Medicago truncatula: one gene and its partners. The protein of the gene in region 1 binds, or shares a complex with, the protein of each later gene. Links are inferred from orthologs where the notes say so. Each region holds a gene or a part of one and is shown in the gene's direction. Other genes may lie near its edges. The genes, in order: DNA-directed RNA polymerase II subunit RPB2, DNA-directed RNA polymerase II subunit RPB7 and DNA-directed RNA polymerase II subunit 4.

Region 1 (6,934 bases):
ATTGTATGCACTTTACATTGCAGCAGTTTACTTGTTAAAGCATGTCTCCTGAGAAGTCACTTGACTGCGAGGTTTGCCCTACAACCTAAAGGTAATCGTTCGAGACCCGGCACCAAGAGTTTACTTGTTAAAATCATTTTACATTTCTTGCACATCAAATTTTTCTTTTTTTTTTAAATATGCTCTTCTATCCTTTTTTTTAATAATATTTTTTATGAGTCTAAAAGCGAAAACCAAACACACGAATGGTGTAGAAAAGGAGTAATGCGAGATTATTTTAATATAACCAAAATTTGAATGCAGAATTTTCTCTATTTTTATTCACAATGTTATTAACATATTGTTTTAAACCATATTATAAAATATAAAATAATACAAAGAAATTTTTTAATATTTTGATAAATTACGAAAGTTGACAAAATTTTGCTATTTAAAAACGAGTTTTTCTATCATGTGCAAAATTTTCACATGTTAAGAAGTTTAAAATAACAACTTTGCATTGAAATTTGTACATTTTGTATTTAATATATAACATTTTAATAAATAAGTATTATTTTTTAATAAAAATTTACTACTTTTAGTTGCTTTAACATGTGCAATATTGCACATTTTAGTCAAACTCTTTAAAAATATATCTTATATTCTAAATCCTTAAGTTTTTTTTTTTTATAAAAATATTTATTCACGTTAAAATGTAGTACATGTTTAATTCTTAAGGGAGATAATTGTGATCCAATCATCGCTTAGCACTCGCTCTCTCATACTCGAGCAAATATAGGGCCACGTGGTCACTCTTTTCTTGGTTACCGGTTGTTTTTCATTAAGACTTTTTACTTTTTTTTAATTACTTAGAGGATAAAGTATATCACATAAAGCAGATTACACACTGAACTGAAAAGGCTTCTACAACATTACCACCATTTTCACATCATCTTCACCCAAAAAATTTCTAATTGAAGATGCCATGTACATTCACAACGTATCTATGATTGTGCCCATATTTGAATTCACCATTAACACTTTCAATTAATGTGGCATTGAGGAAGGAAGAAATTGAAACAATTTTCATGAATCACATACTCATCTTTTTCCCTAATGCTCACTCCCACAGTTCTGAACAAAAACCCCATCGTACCTGCCGCCGAGAACAGTCACATCAACGAAAAGGGTGTTTATAAATGAAAAGAGGGAAACAACCAATCAAATAGTTACATGTGTTTCTAGATCTAGATCTTATTACTTTCTTACAATTAGAATTAGAGACACTTTGATATGTGCGATCTTGGATGGTGCTGCATAAGGATGGGAAATATGTGGAAAAAGTTGATGGAGGGATTGAAGTGGTGTTATTGTTGGATAAAGGTTTGAACTTTGGCTCTTGAGTTTCATGTTGATCGAGTGCTAGAGATTGAAGTTATGGTGGTTTTTTTAATGGATACTTTCAGGTGGACAACAAAAGAGAAAGAATTGGACAAGAAAGTGGTAGAAGTGGTTTGATGTTTTGTGGTAACGAGGAACTTTTTATCGATGCAAAAAAAAATAAAAAAATGTTAAAAAAAATACTTCAACCTAGGCAACCTGTAAATCGGTCATCACTTTTAAAATAATAGAAATAATGTCCAATCAGCGAGCGTGTGTTTATCCGCGGTTGTTAGAGCAACTGTGGGTAGCATTTCTCTTGACGTGTATTCAATGGAATGGAACACATTAATAACACAATTACAATTTTGTCCCTATTTTTTCTATTTTTTTTTTTAAATTCATACAGCTTCGTTATTTTTTTTCTATTATCTTTTTCTATTATGGAATGGTGGCAATAGTAATACAGCTATCGACAAAATTGTTGTTGGATACGTTGTTTATCCATACAATGGTAAAGTTTCAATTTTGATAAAACAATATAGGCTTGTTCCTTGTAAATCTTATGTTATTATATCCTGAAATGCACCTAGTAATATATACTTGTTTCAAATGCATATAGTATATCCCGAATGCATATATTTTATATCCTAAATGCATAAAGTGGTATCCATGTTTCATTTATGAGTTCATGCATTGATTTTATGCTTGGATCTGTATAAATTAGCCCACCTAAAGATTTTTTTTAATTGTTATTACTGTTTGTTCCACCTATTGATGTTTTTTTAAATAAAAGGGTAAAATTGAAATAAATAAGTTATAACTCATTCAATTCTCTCGACTTTTCAAACAATAGAATGGAAAATTAGCTCCATTCCATCATAAAATATTCAAACAATGGAATGGTATCATTGTTCCCTTCCATTCTGTTCCTTTCCATTCCATTCCATTACGTTCCATTCCGCTATGTTAGTTTTAGGGGAGGAGAGGATAAGTTTTTACTTTCTAAAAGAGGAGAATATATATATATTTTAACATAAGAGAGCATATTGTAATTTATTCTTTTATTATGTATTAACCCTTTGGTTTCCAAGAGAAAGAAGCTCTTAATACCGAGTTCGATCGCGATGTAAGTAATGTTTGTCCAAGAATTCTACCAAAAATCGAATTTAGGTTGGATTATCATGAACAATTTGTCATTTGGTTGAGCTCATCAACCACTAAAGTATAATTTACTTAGGAGATTCCAAACAAAAACCACTTAATAATTTTTTGCAGTTTCGTCATTGCTTCCCCCAACACTCAAACCACTAAATTTTATCCATTTTTTGTGTGTTAACCCTATGTTTTACACAGGAAATGGATCCTAATAATCAAGATCTCGATTGAAAGGTAAATAAAGTCTAACTATAATTATTCCATAAAAGAATTGAACACGGGTTTTCGTGAACAACTCGTTATCTGATGGAGCTTATTAACCACTTAAATTATTTACCACTTAAACTATTAACCACTTAACCCCATTTACTTGGTTATCCATTTGTTTTTATTAGCCCATACTAAAAAGTGTCATAAAAATATGAATAAACCACCAAATTAGTTTTTGATTTTATAAAACACTTTCAAATAGATCATTGACTTTATGAAAATTTAAAACAAGTTTAGGACTCCATTAAACTCTCAAATTGATGCTTATATTTAATAATTTACCATCGGTTCAATCGCCTTATTTTAACACCTTATTGTCAACTTGTTCCTAAATTTATCAACATCTACCAATTTAGTCCCTATCATATTCTTTGACGGATTAATATAACCCTATGTTTTACACAAGAAATGGATCCTAATAATCAAAAGCTCGACTGAAAAGTAAGTAAAGTCCAACTATAATTACTTCATCAAAGAATCAAACTTAGATTCCCGTGAACAATTCATTATTTAATGGAGCTTATTAGCCATTTAAGCTATTTACCACTTAAACTATTAACCACCACTTAAGCTCATGTCTATCCATTTGTTTTTGTTAACTCATACTAACAAGTGTCATAAAAATATGAATAAACCACCAAATTAATTTTTGATTTTATATAACACTTTCGAATAGATCATTGACTCTGTGAAAATGTAAAAAACTTTTAAGACTTTATTAAACTCTCAAATTGATGCTTACATTTAATAATTTACCATGAGTTCAATCACCTTATTTTAACAATTTATTGTCGATTTATTCCTAAATTTATCCACTTACTACCAATTTAGTCTCTATTATATTCTTTGATGGACTAATATAGCTTTTATTTTTTGAAAGAACGGACTAATATAGAAGAGTTAAAAACCTTTTTAAAATATTCATAAAAATCCGAGATTCATTTCGGTTCAACTTACAAAATCAGAGATTAATTTGATGGTTTATGGGTTGAGATGCATTACCCACGGACGTATAAAAAAACCGAGTGAGTGAGTCATAGCTATAAAAGAGCACCGCATTAAGCCACAAGTCATTATTCATTCATTCATACATCAAACCTCTTTCGAAAATCTCTTCACTTTTTTCTCTCTGCTAGGGTTTCATATCTTCGTCTTCTTTCTCTCACACTAAAAACACACTCAAAATTACACTAAAACACCGCATAATTTGAACTTCGAATTTGAACAAAATGATGATGGATTTGGAAGAAGAAAATGAATTCGATCAGCAAATGGAAGAAGAAGACGATGAAGAAGAGATTACCCAGGAAGATGCCTGGGCTGTGATTTCTGCTTATTTTGAAGAAAAAGGACTTGTACGTCAACAGCTTGATTCCTTTGATGAATTCATTCAGAACACGATGCAGGAGATAGTTGATGAATCCGCTGATATCGAAATTCGACCCGAATCTCAGCACAATCCTGGACATCAGTCTGATTTCGCTGAGGTAGTTTGATAAGCACTTACTTAGATAATCACTTTTTTCAATTAGATGATTAAATTTGGTTGTTGTTGCGGATTTTCAATTTTCAATATAACGTGGTTGTGAAAAAAGAAAGAAAAAAGCTGTTCACAATGAGAAGTGTTTGTAGGGTTTGTTTGTTAGAGATTGTAAAATAAGTGATTTGGATACTTCAAAACATATAGCGATTAATTTTTAAAGTAAGAAAAAAAGCAGAAGTTGTTAGTTGTTTTGTGTTTGTTTACCAGAGTGAAAATCACTTATAAAAAGTGATTTACTTGAAGTTAGGATTTGTAGCTTTTGATTATAGAATTGATTTTTACACACAAATTTATAGTTCAACTCACTTTTACATAAATGTGTCCAAACACAAATCACTTTACCTTGAGCTCACTTTTAGTTAGAATCAATTTTATAGAATCAGTTCACCCAAAATCAATTATTGTCACCACAGAACCAAACATACACTAAAAACTGCTTCAATGGAGAAGCTGTTGTTTTTTGTTTTTGTTGTTTTGAAAATCTGTAACTAATGGATGCAAATTTCTACAAGTGATTATTTCATTGAAGAAAAAAAAATCTAAAAATTGTTTAAAATGAGAAGCTCTTTTGTAGCCTCTTTAGAAAATCATTTTGTGGTTTTTTCTTTTTTAGAAAGTGTTTTTTTATGCATATGCTTTTTTATTTTTTAAAAATTAATATCTAAATTGTTGCGTATGTGAATCCCTTTTTTAATAATCTGTAACGAACGGGCTGACCTGAATCTGATGTTGATGTTAATATGATTTTGGTTTTGTTTGCAGACGATTTACAAAATAAGCTTTGGGCAGATTTATTTGAGTAAGCCGATGATGACGGAATCTGATGGAGAAACTGCTACATTGTTTCCTAAGGCCGCCAGGCTTAGGAATCTTACTTACTCAGCTCCTTTGTATGTTGATGTTTCTAAGAGGGTCATTAAGAAAGGGCATGATGGTGAAGAGGTCACTGAGACTCAAGATTTCACCAAAGTTTTCATTGGCAAGGTACCCTTCCTCTCAATTCTAGTATTCTACAGATTCTGATTTCATTGCGGTCCGCCCCTATCCGCCTAATTGTGGCATTTGGGCTGCCTTCATTGCAGCATCCAATACCTTAATTGGGTGGATTTAGTCTTACGTTGCTTAAAGAAATCGCCTGTGTAGTGTTTATGAAGTTTGGGCAGCCCTCACCTTACAAGCTGGTTTTGTAAGGTTGAGTTAGGCTCAATCCAAATTCTAAGATACATGCTTAAAAGGGTTTTAGGAAGAGTTTTTACAACCAATTGTTATAGTTGTAGTTTAGTATATTAGTATTTGGATATATTTATTAAAGTAAATGACATGTCCTATAAGAAGTCTTTTTCAGTTTATTAAATTCCAATGATAAGCTTAAGCTTCTATTTATGTCCTTTTGTCATTTTCAGTTTACTTCAGTGATAAGCTCACAGTAGGCCTTTTTTGTTGTTTGTGGTGTTTCTTCTTACTTACATAATCAAAATTGTTACTGAATAAATGTGTTAGGGCCTTCTTCAAGTCAGAATAACATTTAAATCAGCTTATTTTAATGATTATACTTTGATTATAGTCAATTATAACTATATTGTACTAATTTTGCCTTCTTGACAGAGTAAATGAGAATTTTAAGTTATTTTATGATGTGGTGGTGAAATATAATTGGATCGGACTTCTGAGGCCTGTGTAACCTAAGTAATGGTTTTGTTGTTATTAGGTTCCTATTATGCTTCGGTCTAGTTATTGCACACTATATCAGAATTCAGAGAAGGATTTGACTGAGCTTGGAGAGTGTCCGTATGATCAAGGAGGTTATTTCATTATTAATGGCAGTGAGAAGGTTCTTATTGCTCAGGAGAAGATGAGCACCAATCATGTCTACGTCTTCAAGAAGAGACAACCTAACAAGTATGCTTATGTGGGTGAAGTTCGCTCCATGGCAGAGTCACAAAACAGACCACCTAGCACTATGTTTGTGCGCATGCTCTCTCGGGCTAGTGCCAAAGGGGTAAATGAAAATCGCTGTATATTTGTTGTTTTTGTGTAGTTTTTGCTGTGTGGCGAGTCACATTTTGCAGATGTTTTGATGTCTTATACAATGTCTAAGTTTATGCATTTTTATTCCTACCAGGGTTCTTCAGGGCAATATATACGTGCTACTCTTCCTTACATTCGAACTGAAATTCCTATCATTATTGTGTTTCGGGCATTGGGGTTTGTCGCCGACAAGGATATCCTTGAACATATATGCTATGACTTTGCGGATACTCAAATGATGGAGTTGCTTCGTCCTTCCCTGGAAGAAGCATTTGTGATACAAAATCAACAGGTGGGTTTTGCTATTGTTATATATTTTTTGCTTACAGTCAAAATGGTGATTGTTTGTCTAGAGTAATTATATATTAGTTTCGAGTGAGATCGTCGTACAATCCAAATATATTTCAGACTGTTCCGAAGATGGAATAGTCTGTTTCTCTTGTACTGCATATTATTTATAATCGAATGAAGGCCCAGTTTGGATTAGTTTTTAGCTTACGAGAGTATTTCGATATAAGAGTATTTAATTTCTAACCCATGAAACAGCTCTTATAAGGTTATATGTGTTTGTGTAGA
Region 2 (7,442 bases), on another chromosome or scaffold:
AGTCTGTTTGTCTTATCTAATTTGTTATGTTTCAGGTGGAATGAAGGTCAAAGCTGACCGAGATGAGTCATCTCCATATGCTGCCATGCTTGCTGCACAAGATGTTGCCACCAGATGCAAGGTAATTGCATATATTTGTATCTTTTTATTCACTTGTGTTTTTTCTTGACAAGCGATTGCGTTGCTCTTTTTAATTTGATTGAATTCTTGTAATCTGATTGCTCCGCCTGTCGTATCAAATATTAATTGTTATTTCATTGGCATTTTCCATTAGCTGTCATAATTTGCTGATTCTGTGTTCTTGAACAGGAGTTAGGCATAACTGCTCTTCACATCAAACTACGTGCTACTGGAGGAAACAAGACCAAAACACCAGGCCCTGGTGCTCAGGCTGCTCTCCGTGCCTTGGCTCGGTCAGGAATGAAAATCGGTCGCATAGGTATTCCTTTAGTCCATTTTTAGGATGCATGTCTTGGTAAATTTGTTCCCTGCTGCTCTAAGCTGGTGATGTGGTCTATAGTTTTTTATGTGCTTTTGTTTTATGCGTTGTGTTTGTGAATCTTGTTTATGAAGTAATAGTTCTCCCTCCTAGTTACTCTTATTTTGTATTCTCAGCATTTGACGATGAGTTTCTAAGTTTTGATATCCAGCTTAATATCTAATTAGCTTGCCTTTTGTTTTTAAATTTGCAGAGGATGTGACCCCAATTCCTTCTGACAGCACCCGCCGAAAGAGTGGTAGAAGGGGTAGAAGGCTCTGAGTTTGCTATGGTATTATGGAAGGAGCTGCTTATGTTTTTATTTTGGTCACCGTGTTTTTGTTTCTTTCCAGACTGTATTGTGGCATATTCAAAAGTTCTACATGAGTTTATTTAGATACAAGTTAAGAGTCAAATGAAAGTTTTTCATGTTTCTTCTATGATTTACACTTTTGCGGATTTGATAAATTGCTTCATCTAATTTTTGTTTTGTTCTCTCATGTTTACTTTATACCGTATGAGAATTAGTACTTAATGGCATTGGTATAATTACCATTGAAATATCAATGGCTGTGAAATTCCTAGTTACTAGTATAGTGACCCGTGTCAGCACGGGGAAATAAAAATCTTTTTTGATCAAATGTATAGATTTTAAATTCGATATGAAATATCTAAACATTGCATATAACGATAAAAATATCTGGATTATTATACTTGTACTAATTATTTGTAGTATAAGATTCACTCATTGTTAAACTTAGCATATGTAGTCGGTAAATGCAAACGTTTAATTTTTTTACAAAGGTTTCACGATACACAACATCTGTGGTCTCCTTACAAACATTATTATCGTCATCCAGGATGAGCAGCTTTAGACCTTTTCTTGAAGTTACCCGAGAGACAGCGACATAAAGTTGTCCATGCGTGAACACAGGCTTATGAAGCTAAAACTCCATTCAAGATAAAGATTGACCTTGGCTTTTATTTATTGTCATTGCAAAACAAAGCGTCAAAGGAAATTGCCTGCGCCTGAATTTGAAGGGTAGTCCTGGATCATTCAGAATAAAATTCATCCTGGGAATGAATACCCTAGTACCTGCCCTTTTTCCTGTAATTACGGTAGCAACTATCGTGCTCTTCCCTAGATGTGTAACTTTCAGCCTAGTACCATTACACAGTCCATTGACCTGATCGATGTTTCTCATCAGCATAACTGGACATCCCACCTTTAGTTTCAACCTGTGATTTGGAATTCCAGAGCTCTTAATACCATTAAGAAATTTTGGTGTGAACCACTCGCTTTGGACATCAGAATTTTCACCCGATCTAAAAATAGAATCAGAGCTTAAATACTCTTTCTCTTCACCTGGAATCAGCGACATCATAAATTCGTTAACATGCTCAATTGAATCAAGCGTTGGTGCGAGTATTCCCCTTTCTTGGAAAAATAGTTGGTCACCAAGGTTATCATTTAGATCGGGATACACAAAGTCTATAAGTGACATCAACGGATTTGTTGTGTCTGATATCAGCAAATCTTCAGGAATTTCTACCTTCATTTCACCATTGTCACCCAAAGCATCGTTGCCGTCTCCAATTGAGAGTATCCACTTGCAAAAATTAGCAATTTCTTCCTGCTCTGCAGGTACCGAAGATGCACCCAATCTCATATTAACAGTAAGCCTCAACACATTACAATAAGCCCATATCTTTGACGAATTGACCGAGGCATTAACAATATCCGGTCTCGTTCCTCCTCAGACAACAGTTAATATCTGCCTAAAATCACCACCTAAAACTACAGTCAATATCTGTCATTCCACCAAGCGTTGGTGCGAGTATCCGGCCTCATTCCTACTTATGTTGATTGTAATTTGTAAACTTTGTTATGGATGTTTTCAATGGTTTTTTGTAGTTGCGCTAATAAAATCAATTTACCTTAGTTTAGTTATGCGATGTTAGTTGACCTATTTTAAAATTTGACATATTTGGTCTAAAATATGGCCATATGATATTTGAAGTTTTGAAGGGAATATCGAGGTTGAGTTTTTTTGTCATGAAATCACATTCTACATTATTTAAAACATTACAGATTTAATAAAAATGACAATGACAAAGGGACCAATTTTTAAAATAGAGGGTATGTGAAATGGTGAAAATACTGAACCAAACTTGCAATTGAACAGACAAAATTGTATAAGGTACCTTTTAAACACTAGAAAAAATACAATGTTTTTTTTATGTATGCAAATAAATTATCATTCAACAATTTATCTCTCCTACTATTGTGGATTTACAAATAAGTGTTATGTAGGAAGACATAAGTGTTATTTAGGAAGACATAAGTGTTATTTTTTTATTTCCAATAAATCTAAACCATTGAATTTTTTTAAAATTCTAATGGTAAAATATAAGTGGTACACCGGTGAGGGACTTAATTGCTCCTTCACCCTAGAATCCATCTCAATATATATGTGAAAGCAACAAATAATAACGGAATAAGCATATGTTAACCATAGTTTTAAAACTCGGCTCAACCATCGACTTGACAAAGGTATTGGGTCACTGGGTTAATGGTCGAACCATTGAGTCACTGGTTGAACCGCATGACTTAACCAGATTAAATCGGATGACTCGATCGAATAACTTGGTCTCTATATTAAACTTGTTTATGTAATATTAAATTAGGTTGAACAAGATGAATCAATCTCTAAAAATTTCAATTTTTTAAATTAGTTAAAAACTCCTAATTTTCTATATTCTTATTTTCTTTCTCCTTTTAAAATTTTCAAAATTAGGCTGTATATAAATGTTAATCGGAAGGAATGATGTCACACGTTTAAAAATATAAATACTTGCAACCAAAAAAATATGCATTCAAAAAACAAAAAAAGACAAACAAAAAGCTAAAATAAAAAAAAGAATATAAAAGTTGACCCGAGTCTAAGAGAAAAAAGGCCCAAGCCCATTGATCTCTCTCAAGGCATAACCCTAATTATAAAACCAACATTTTTTTTTTTGAAAAATGATATTTGAACAACCATTTTTTGACAATTTTTGTGACAACTTTCTCTCTCATACTCACATGATTATTCTACTTTCTCTCTCTATTGCTTTGATTTTTGTGCCACTATTTAAATTTCTTTGTAAAATTTGGTTGTCCAACAAGTTGTCACAATAAATGGTTATACAAATAACATTGCTCTTTTTTTTTACAAACAACACGTCTCTTAGTTATTTGCAGCCGCCGTTACATTTTGATTTTCCCCTTGTGCGATTCAAACACAGCGCAGCTTCTTTCTTGATGCTTCTTCTTCAATTGTTTTGTTTTCTATTTCATGTATTTCTTCTCTATACCTCTTTCTCCCTTCCTTTTCAGAAATTAATTTGAGCGACATCAATTTTTTGTTGTGCGATCTGCGATGGTGTTTGACCCGGTCCGAGTTGTAGAAACCGTCGGTTCATCGGTTTATTGAAAAAACCGGACGAGTCGTCCGATTCACACTGGGTCAAATGCATGACTGATCTAACTACTTACTTGAATCGGTTCTACCACCGGTTCACGGTTCGACTGGCCGGTGCTGGGTTTTAAAACAATGATGTTAACATATCTATCCGATTTTATATACAAACAAATAATATTTTTTGAAATCGAATAACTTATTGGGTGTGTTTGGTTTGCAAAACAACTAGTATTGGACAGAACAGTATAAGATAGAACAGTACTACAACACAACACAAAACATATTTTGGTATTTTATACAACTTGTGCGTGGGACAAAAAATTATGCTGTGGTTTGGTGAGGGACAAATATGAGTTGTTCTGTTCTGTCATGTCCTTCATTCTTTTAGCAAATCAAACGCACCCATTTAATTTATCTATAATAGAGTCTTATAGCAAATATAGTCTAAATATATCAATTATTCTGTAAATAAAAAATCGATTCTATAGATATATGAAAAACAAAAAAAATCCCCAAACAAGTCTAAAATAAAAACCGTGATTCCTCTCTCACTTCTTCCCCCGCAGTTCTTAGCTTCATCAACGAACAAGGTTCGTGTCTACTCTCTAGTTTCCCTATTTTCCTCTCCCCTATCTTTTCGAATTGAAGTGCGAAAACAGCGACTAGCCTTTTCTCCATCACTTCAAGAGAGTAACGAGGGTTAACACTCTAATTAACCACATATTCAGTTAATATTAGTTATTGCATAAGCAAATATTACAATCGAAGAGCAAATTAGGCTAAACTCTGTTTATTACTTCACAAAATTACCCGAACAATGAACTGTTACTAGGGCACACTTTCTCTCTAATTTCATATCCATTGAATTTCATCGACAACTTGTGATTTTTTTTTATTCGTTTAACTTACTATGTTATTTTCATTAGCGTTGGGAATTTGGGTACATTCATATATATCTTTTCATCTTTCTTTCATTGTTTGAAATGAAGTTAGTTGGATTTTTATTCGATTTAGGGTTTATATGGTTTTGACTGTTTTTTTTTTTTTTTTTTATGGTATTCTTTGAATCTACTCTTATTATTTGTTTTGTGGCCACAAGTAACTGTTCAGGTTCGGTGAGAAGGGAGAGAAAAGAAAATGTTTTTCCACATAGTGCTGGAGCGAAACATGCAACTGCATCCACGCTACTTTGGGCGTAACCTTCGTGATAATCTTGTTTCCAAGCTAATGAAAGATGTCGAAGGCACTTGCAGGTGATTCACCTTAAGATCATTTCACTCTTTTTTACAAAACCATAGTTCTAGTAATTAAACTTAGGACAAAAGATGCCATCACTTGAGATTTTTTCACTAACAGACTACTACTTGAAGAATATGTACTATGTTGTCTTTGATTTCTTTTCAATTTTGTTTTTGTTTATCATTTGAAGAAGACAAATTAAATAGAACTGCACTTTGAGCATTACTTGATGATGGAAACAATTTCAATTGAAATAAAGGGCCAGTAGAACAGTAACAGACCTCTTTAACCCCAAACTAACAATATCTGTGATAAGCCTTTTTGTGTCTTGGACTAATTTTGTTTGGAAATAAACCTGTAATAATTTGGATCAAACTGTTTCTGTTTTGGACTTTGTGGTGATGCAATTTTTGGGCTTTCAACTATTACGCAGTGGACGACATGGATTTGTGGTGGCGGTGACGGGAATTGAGAACATTGGCAAAGGAATAATTCGGGATGGGACCGGATTTGTGACATTTCCGGTTAAGTACCAATGTGTTGTCTTTAGACCATTTAAGGGAGAGATCTTAGAAGCTGTTGTTACCATGGTGAACAAGGTTTATGCAATTCCTTTCCCCTGTCTCTACATTTTACTCATTAGCTTTATCTAGGTGTCTGACTCTGCTGTGTTGATAAAGTGGTTTATATTATTGAGTTCTGTTTGTACAGATGGGTTTTTTTGCTGAAGCTGGACCAGTTCAAATCTTCGTTTCCAACCATGTAAGTTCTTTTATAACCTTTGACAAAAGGCCTCTATCATCATCTTCACCTTACACACTTGTACCTAAGATACTGTTATTATTGTTCTTCATTTTAAGCCCTAAAATCATGATTCTCATTTATTGAACTTGAGATTAGAGTAGTAAAAGACATAACCTGTCTTAAGTTATTCTTTCATATTGAAAAATTAAATGCACATTCCAAAAAAAAGAATTACGGAATGCTGTCCAAACTTGTTGAACTCAAGTTGCATAAGCACTTATGTTCTTCTGATTTCTGAATAATGGAAAAGAAATCGACTTCTTGTTTTGTCATTTGTCATATTGACTATATAGTATTTACACTAGAGATCATTATCTCCAATGCAATTCCTCTTTTAGATGTCTGTATGAAAATGGTTTTCATTGATTTCTTGCTAGGTTTGAAAAAAGGATAATTTGCAAGCTTTGAACTGTGACCCGAGTTTAGTCTCCCCCGTAGCTATTCTGTTTTGCCTTTGCTACTATTTCCTCATGTATTTTTGTCTTGATCAGACCCTTTTTTCTCCTTTCAGTTGATTCCAGATGATATGGAATTCCAGACTGGAGACATGCCAAACTACACTACTTCAGATGGATCGGTACATATCATTTATAATAATTTCTCATTGAAGAGGAAGAGAGCAATTTTTTTTTTTAGGTGTTCAATTTAATGTGTTTTCTTCTGTTTTTGGCTTTGATCGTTTGTTTTTTTGCAGGTTAAGATTCAGAAAGACAGTGAAGTGAGGCTAAAGATAATTGGGACTCGAGTGGATGCTACTGAAATTGTAAGCCTGTATATATTGCAGCTTTTAGTTTGCTTTTATTTATGTTGTTAAGCTCCATCAGTTTTATGTGAAATTATACTTTTAAGAAATTCAAATTAATAGGATATGAAAGCACTGTGGTCTGTGCCAGATATAGCTTTCATTTCTTGCAGGTCTGCTTACTAGTACAAATTGCTAGAGAACGGCCTTAGTTTATGATAGTTTGATTTTTAAGTTCATGGTAGGACCCTTGGGCCTTATGACACAGGTGATCCAATTATAAAAGCAAATATGAATAGACCCACTACATGGTAGGTATACACGAGCAGGGGAAGACTGGGGTCAGTGGGGAATAGTGGAAGTTAGTTATGAGGGGTCCCTAGATTTTATTTGAAGGAGGGAGAGTCTAGGTGTGAGGGTATTCCGGATTATGCTATTGAGCTGGGTAGGAGATAATATCTCTCTGGTTAGGAGTCACTGACTCTGGATGTACTTTTATTTTCATTGTAGAGCTAGATCTCATTTCCTTTTATGAAATAATGCACTGTCGCATTGCTCATAACTGTCGGTTTCTATCAGTTTATATGATTCACAGGCTTAGCAGTAGTGATCTGTACATACCATAAAAGTGGCGATAAATTTATGCTAGTGTTTTACCACTTGGTTAATCTTTTATCACCACCATTCCAACAACCATGTCAACAGTGATCAACAT
Region 3 (7,560 bases), on another chromosome or scaffold:
AGAACATCACGAAAAGTTATGATAGGCTATTTAGCATCAATACCCAATCTGTTTTACGCCTAATCAGAATGTAAAGTCACGTGGATTGTTTTAAACCCAAAATGTGCATCGCGCGTGCATTTTCACGAATAAAGGGTCCGTGATATATAGCATTGCTCATACAACTAAATGTGCAAACAAATTCATTCAAAAGCAAAAGCAATATTCGTAACAGATGAATGAAGCCATTAAATCAACCACGAGCGAGACAAAAGGAGTAATTACAAAATAACAAACAGATCAATCATTATAACCTTAACAGAATGACTGTCCAGCTGAATTGCTCTTCTAGAATCTTCCTCAACCCTCTCCCATTCACTACAAATAAACCAAACACATTGTGGACACAATTGTAATCAATAAAACCTCCAAAATATCAATATTCCAACCACAATTTCAATTGCATACAGAAATCAAAACCCTAAAAATCCCACAACCCAAATTTCAAATCAAAATTAAAAACCCTAAACAATCAAAAACACCCAAAAAATCATAATCATAAAATTGATAAAAATACATACTTTCGTTTGAGATGACACAAAGCACGATTGGTGAAATAAACGGGAACATTAGGGCAAAGCGTAATTGCCTACAAAACAAAAAACCCATGTCAGAAACGAAACAAAGTTTTAATTTTTGCAATTGAAAAGAAAAGGGTTAGTAAAAACTGAAAATTTGGATGAAACCTCAGTGTAAGCATCGATGGCGGCATTAAAACGGTTTTTCTTGAAGTAATTGTTACCGTCGTTTCGCAAAAGTTCGGCTTGTCTCATCGCCGAAGCGTTTGGCCTCATTTCACTATATCTAATGTTTATATCTATAGGTGTAGATTATTATGTGAATGAATGAATTGATGTTTATAATGTGAATGAATTGAATGTGAATTGTAGAAATTTGGAGAAGAAGAAACGGAGAGTACCGATGAAGAAAGGTAACAACGAGTTTTTGGAAATATGATGTGAGTATTGAGTTGTACGCCTCGCAGTTTCTGTCATAAATCACGCTATGTATTAAATTAAATTAAATTTGTCAATATCCAGTCAAAATAAATTGTCATAAAATCTAAAAAATTTCTATCAACTAAATAAACAAACTGTGGAATATATTGTTTTTATATATCTTTCAAAAAAAAATATATCTGTTTTTTTGTATGTAATAATTTTTTTTACATATGTTGAAGGTTGTGTCTATTTTTTTTCTCTTTTTTTTTTTTGGTCTAATATCAATTACGTTTAAAAATAAAAAATAATTTGGATCTTCTCATGTTGTCCATCCTATTTTAATATCCGTCATTCAAAAACAATTTTATGTTTCTTCTTATTACTATTATTTTTTTTAAGAAACTTAATTTTTAGTAAAAAGTAAGTTTTATAATCATGAAAAGGGAGAACAAAAATATAATATAAATAGTAGAGTCTTCTTTTATATTAGATCGAGTTTATATTGTCCTCGTGAGCATAATTCAGTTGGTTCGAACCCCAGCCACCACAAAAAAAAAAAAAAAAGTTTATATTAGACAATTCCATATACGTAAATTTAACACAATTCATTTTTTTTTTAAAGAATAACACAATTCGTTTTTATAAGATCTATCTCAATTAATATTATCGCATTAATCCGGCCATTTTAATTTAAATTCGAACTTGAAATTTGGTGTGTAAGTTTAAATAGTGTTTTTCACTTCCTTCTTCTAGATGCTGAAAAAATATAACAAATTTTGGTTTCAAAAAATTTATACTAAATAATTTAGTGGTTATAGTTTCATCCATAAAGTGAATAAGTGAATAATTCATGATTCGAATATCAGTCTCTACATATTGCATCGTATTGTTCCTATCAATTAAATGTAGAGGCCGAGATATGAAGGAATCAAACCAATCGTGAAGGAGAGAAGAAAAAAAAAGAGCAGGCTCACCAAAGTTAAAATGCATTATGCACTTAATATTTTTCATTCTTAGGAGATCGAGACTATTAGTTATAGGATGCATATCATGAGTCAAGTCTTTTTTCTTCTTCTTTCTTCTAAGCTTAGATGCATTTTTGCGTCTTTAACTTTTAAAAATTGCAATTTTGACCCCTAAAAAGTAATAGCAATTTTTTACCTTAACTTTACAAAAAAATTGTAAGACAATCGAGAAGACGTCACATGTCAAAATATGGGACCAAAATTGCTATTTTTAAAAAACAATAGGTCAAAAGTACATATTTTTTAGGATAGAGGGCAAAAATTGATTTTTTTTTTGTTTGCGTTGTGCAATGTTTTATAAAGTTAATGGATCAAAATTGTAATTTTTTTGTTGGAGGGTCAAAATTACAACTTTTTAAAAATTAAGAGGAAAAAAAATACATTTAAACTTTTTTTTATTTCAATTATCAATGGTTTTGAAATATAATTGCAACAATATGATGATATTCGATAACTCCAATTATTTAATAATATACATTTAAAACTCTTCAAAGCTATAACTATGAAAAGAGAAAAAAAATATAGGGTGCGTTTGATTTGCTAAAAAATAAAGGATAAGACAGAACAACTCTAGTTGTCCAGTGTTTGATTTATAAAACTGTTTCAGGTACAGGACAAACTGGAGGCAAGCGACAGAACAAAAACTTATATTTTTGTCCCTCACCAAACCACATCACAACTTTTTATCCTACGTACAAGTTGTCTAAAATACCAAAATAACATTTTGTCCCTCAAAAATCGTATAAAACAAAAAATTACTCAATGCCATAAAAAATTTGTCCTATGCTGTTCTGCCTTGTGTTGTACTGTTCTATCTTATATTGTTCTGTCCGATACTTACTGTTTTGCAAACCAAACACACCCATAAAGAAAAAATAGCGAGAGGTTCTTACATGTATCCTTTACTTTTCTCTGTTTTTTTTTTAAGGAGATTCTGACCCATATTCGAACATTGTGTTTAATATAATTTTGTAAATAATCTTGATAATAATTTATTTGTTTCTATTTTTCTTAATTGGTTGTTAATTTTTATACTCAAAAGATCTTGTATTTAATTATGAATGAATTTTGAGGTCAAGATAGGATATTACCAAAACTTAGGGTCATGAAAGAATTTACAATAAATAAAATTTTATTGGATTAATAGGCCTTTACCCCTCTATAATATAGGGTACTTTCGGTTTTGCCCCCTGTAATTTTTTATTTAGATTCCGTCCTTATAAAATAAAGATTCTTCACGATTGCCCCCTAAGCCCATTGACTCAGTAGAATCTCTGATGTGACACTTTTTCTTTTCCATTTTTTTGTGCTTGTCACGCGTAAAAAATTGTTTACACGTCATTTATATTTAAAAAAACGAAAATCCTTTTTTAAATCGAAAAAAAAATTATTTTTTTTTCAAAAATTAAAAAAAATTTAGATTTTTTTTTTCCGAAATAGAAAATGTTCTTCTCTTTTTCAAAATTTAAAAAAAATTCAGATTATTTTCGAAATAAAAAAGTTTTTTAAATTTTTTTCTACAAAAAAAGAAAATTCTGAAAAATATTTTAATTTTTAAAAATCTGGATATAAATATTTTTAAATTCCAATTATATAATTTGAAAAAAATTTGATTTTATTTAAATTTTTAAAATCTTAACTTCAGATTTTTTTCGAAAATTTTAAATTTAGAAAAATTCAGATTTGTTTTTGAATTTTTTTATAAAATCATGAAATATTGTTCTAGAATTCAAATTTTATGAAATTTTGAATATAATTTTTTTTAATTGAAATCAAAATCTTAATTTCAGTTGTTTTTTCAAAAAAAATTAAATTTAGAAAAGATTTCAAATTTTTTCGAGAGTTTTATTCCTGAAATTTTATGAAATCTTTTTCGAAATTAAAAAAAATCAATTTTTTTTCGAAATTACAAATATTTAAAAAAAAATCTGAAACTTAATTCTCAAAATATTTTTTTTAGATAATATTATAATTTTCGAAGTTTTTTTAATTTATATTTGGATATTTTAGAATCTTTTTCGTAATTATTTTATAATTTTTTGAAAAATTCGAAATATATTAAATTTTAGATTTTCTTATAATTTTTTTCCTAATTAATTTGTTTATTTTATAATTTTTGAAAATTAATTTTGATATTTTTAAAATTTTTTATTTATTAATGACGTGTAATTTTTTTTTTACGCGTGACATTTAAAAAATAAATAAAAAAAGAAAAAGCCACGTAGTTGCCACGTCAATAAGATATTTTGATGACTCGAAGGGCTCGGGTGGCAAACCTAAAAAATCTTTAATTTACGAGGACGAATCTAAATTTTATTTTTCAAAGAAAAACTAAAAATGCCATATATATATTATTGAGGATAAAGACTTATTAATCCAATTTTATTTTATTTTAGTTTTTGAGAGAAATAAAGTGGTAGCTTTTATTTTTTATTTTTTTAAGGGAAAGTGGTAGCTTTATAAACGCTGCGTTTAACGTTGTCTAAAATCCAAAACGAGTGTTACTTTCTTCCCAGGTGAACGACACAAAGCCCTCAACTTCTCTCACCGTTTTGATTCTGGTTAGTTCGTTACACCGTTTCTTCTTCTTCTACTTCTTCTTCCCAATCACATCATTATCTTTTTGATTTGATTTGTACTAATTTCATTACTGATTCTGTGCTGACCTAATTGAATTCAGCAGAAGAAGGAGTGAATCATGTCTGGTGAAGAGGAAGAAAACGCCGCTGAACTCAAAATCGGAGACGGTAATTACTCATTCTCGGTTTTCTCCACTAATTTGCTTCTTTACTTGCGTTCTGTTTTGCTTGAATTACGTAGTGTTTCATTATTAGTAATTTTTTAAATCCCTAATTTGAAAATTTTACCTTCGTACATAGTAATTCTTCGTTCAGTGTTTCTTTGAGATCAGTACTTCATCTTCGTATGGTTTCAAAGATGTTTGAGCTATGATGTTTATATATCTTTTTTTTTTTTTTTTTTTTAAGGATGATGTTTATATATCTGAACATTTAACAAGTTAATGAATTATAATTATGTGTTTTATATATAAATTCGTATTTGAGTTAATGAACTAATGCTATTTTTTACCATAGTTGATACGCTAGCTTATGACGGATGAACTTATTTATAGAGGATAACCGATAAGCTAGCTCACAGCGGATAATCTAGTTGAATGAATTTGTACGAGCACTTGAGCAGAAAGCTGTTTTATAAGCTATCCTATAGAGTGTATAGAAATAAGCTGAAAACAGCTTATGAACATGTCATAAGCTGTTTTCTTAAGTTCTTCTCACAAGTGCTTATGCCAGTAGATAAGCTCAAGTAAACCAATCCAATTCCCTTATTCTTTTAGCATGTGCTACGTTGAATAATACCTAAACTCATATTCTGAAGTGATATACTATAATACTATCTATATTTTTAGGTGATTAGTTAGTATATGAGGGTAATAAGTAATGGGTGTTGCTTTGATTAGTTGCGGCGTATCACCATACTCCTTTCAGATAGCTATTTTATTACACCATTCAAAATCTGATTGGTTCATTGATAGACAACGATCTTATGTTTTGTCATGTTGGATTGATTGAACATGTTTCAAGTTTGGTATAATTGTTGTGACTTTTTGTTTTTTCGCTAAAGAAGTAGTTTTTTTTTTTTTCTTCCAGAGTTTTTGAAAGCAAAGTGCTTGATGAACTGTGAGGTTTCATTAATTCTGGAACACAAATATGAGCAGCTTCAGCAGTCGTCTGATGATGCCATGAATCAAGTTTCTCAGTGAGTTCTAATCCTGTATCAATGTTCATGTGTTATTCAGACGTAAAGTTCATGCATGCCATTTTTACGCCCCTAGCTAAATTACTTTTTATTCCGGGAATATGACATGCATTTGTTATGCTTAATGACTCCAAGATCTTTTATTTTGATACTATTGCTGGAAGAAGAGAGTTATGCTTTGATGTCTGCCGCTGTAATAATACCTAAATTAAATAACATGTCCTTGAACTTGCCAAACCCAATTTACATATTTTCAATGATGAATTTGACAACGATGTTGATATAGAAGCGGAGTAATGTTGTAGTTAGCACCTTAGAGTAATGTGTTTTTCCTTCTATTTTTTTCAGGGTATTTGAAAAGTCATTGCAGTATGTGAAGCGTTTCAGCCGCTACAAAAATCCTGATGCTGTTAGACAAGTTCGAGAGTATCCTCCAAAACTGAGCTGATGAACCCATTTTCTTTTTCTCATGATTCATATATTTACTTAAATGAAAATTGTGACGGTGTCCATCTCATTTCTTTCATAATAATGAATAATCTCGTTTTCTTTTATTTCTTGATTGACTTTTCTCTTGTCTTTCTGGATCCTGTGTTTCCTTTTAGGGTCCATTTGGTTGAGAGTGGTTGAAGGGGAGGGGATATTTTAAATCATTTATGTTTGGTTCAATTTTTAAGAGAGGGGGATGGGAGGGAATCAAAACCCCTCCTAGACCACTTTTTGCTTCCCCTCAAATTGGGGGGATTTGGAAGTGAGGTGACTAAAAACACTTCTAAACCATTTAAAATTCCTCCCCTCATTTTAAACCAAACATGCTTTTAATTAAAAACTCTCCCCTTTGTTGAACCAAATAGACCCCTACGTAATATCTCTTTCTATCATTTAATAAGAAATTTGAAATTGCAAAGCCCTGTATCAGATTGTGATCTTAACTGGCTTAAGAATTCTTGCGAGATATCAGTTGGCTGAATTTGAGGTAATATGACTATTCCTTTCACAAATTCGGTTTAGGAAGCAAGTTTTCACATTTTATTATGAGGATAAAGAAAAAGAGTTATAATTTCACACAATACAATTAACTGTTTCAATGAATTTATTGCAGCTGTGTGTCCTAGGCAATCTTTGCCCGGAAACTGTAGAGGAAGCTATTGCTATGGTTCCATCTATCAAGGTAGAAATAATTTGCCTCTCCTTCTTTCTGTAAACTTTTCCTGTTGGGCGGGGATGAGAAGGGTTTGTTTTTGGGAAGGAGTGGTGATGTTAGGTCAATTTTAAATGATTTGAATTCTCCCTTTCATGCTTGTTAAAATGAAGAAGGGGAGATAAATAAAGGCATGAATTGAATCAAATATGATGTTCTATAAATTTATCTCTTTGAATAAATTTCTATTAAAATTTTATCGAGTTGGTAGGAGTTGGTAGGACGGTAGTATTGTTTGATTGATGTGGTCAATACTATCTAGCAGGGAATAACTTATTTTTGGTGTAAAATTCTGTTTTGTTAATGAGCAAAATCAGAAATATCTACAAGTTTGGCAATTAAATTTACAAAAATTCCCAATATTGGAGAATTCATAAGTAAAAGCTGGAGGATTTTATTGGGTTACTATTTATCTCCGTAATGGCATCTCAGTTTTTATTAATATGTTTCATTTATTTTTCCCGCGAGCCTTCTGTTACATTGTTCTTTTACCATTTGCCCTCACCATAATATATTCCAGATTCATCATGGTTCAAAATGTTTTTTCTGACAGATAGAATTAATGAAAAAACTTCAT

Evidence for each region.
Region 2: DNA-directed RNA polymerase II subunit RPB2 (region 1) and DNA-directed RNA polymerase II subunit RPB7 share a complex: the UniProt entries of both Arabidopsis thaliana proteins name them as parts of the RNA polymerase II complex. The link is inferred for Medicago truncatula from reciprocal best matches to the Arabidopsis thaliana genes NRPB2 and NRPB7.
Region 3: DNA-directed RNA polymerase II subunit RPB2 (region 1) and DNA-directed RNA polymerase II subunit 4 share a complex: the UniProt entries of both Arabidopsis thaliana proteins name them as parts of the RNA polymerase II complex. The link is inferred for Medicago truncatula from reciprocal best matches to the Arabidopsis thaliana genes NRPB2 and NRPB4.

Annotation. Positions count from the first base shown.
Region 1 is NC_053042.1:7,590,472-7,597,405, forward strand, and holds the start of DNA-directed RNA polymerase II subunit RPB2, read left to right. Parts: upstream 1-3,847; 5' UTR 3,848-4,016; coding exon 4,017-4,274; intron 4,275-5,092; coding exon 5,093-5,314; intron 5,315-6,038; coding exon 6,039-6,329; intron 6,330-6,452; coding exon 6,453-6,650; intron 6,651-6,934. UniProt on the Arabidopsis thaliana protein: DNA-dependent RNA polymerase catalyzes the transcription of DNA into RNA using the four ribonucleoside triphosphates as substrates. Second largest component of RNA polymerase II which synthesizes mRNA precursors and many functional non-coding RNAs.
Region 2 is NC_053045.1:46,418,966-46,426,407, forward strand, and holds the start of DNA-directed RNA polymerase II subunit RPB7, read left to right. Parts: upstream 1-4,406; 5' UTR 4,407-4,532; intron 4,533-5,041; 5' UTR 5,042-5,079; coding exon 5,080-5,195; intron 5,196-5,614; coding exon 5,615-5,780; intron 5,781-5,892; coding exon 5,893-5,943; intron 5,944-6,496; coding exon 6,497-6,562; intron 6,563-6,679; coding exon 6,680-6,748; intron 6,749-7,442. Other genes in the region: 40S ribosomal protein S14, read left to right, coding at 36-121, 310-439, 693-760. UniProt on the Arabidopsis thaliana protein: DNA-dependent RNA polymerase catalyzes the transcription of DNA into RNA using the four ribonucleoside triphosphates as substrates. Component of RNA polymerase II which synthesizes mRNA precursors and many functional non-coding RNAs.
Region 3 is NC_053049.1:3,123,822-3,131,381, forward strand, and holds the start of DNA-directed RNA polymerase II subunit 4, read left to right. Parts: upstream 1-4,454; 5' UTR 4,455-4,566; intron 4,567-4,685; exon of another isoform or gene 4,686-4,688; 5' UTR 4,689-4,703; coding exon 4,704-4,752; intron 4,753-5,673; coding exon 5,674-5,782; intron 5,783-6,130; coding exon 6,131-6,208; intron 6,209-6,724; coding exon 6,725-6,758; intron 6,759-6,884; coding exon 6,885-6,953; intron 6,954-7,560. Other genes in the region: E3 ubiquitin-protein ligase CHIP, read right to left, coding at 294-357, 561-628, 726-833. UniProt on the Arabidopsis thaliana protein: DNA-dependent RNA polymerase catalyzes the transcription of DNA into RNA using the four ribonucleoside triphosphates as substrates. Second largest component of RNA polymerase II which synthesizes mRNA precursors and many functional non-coding RNAs.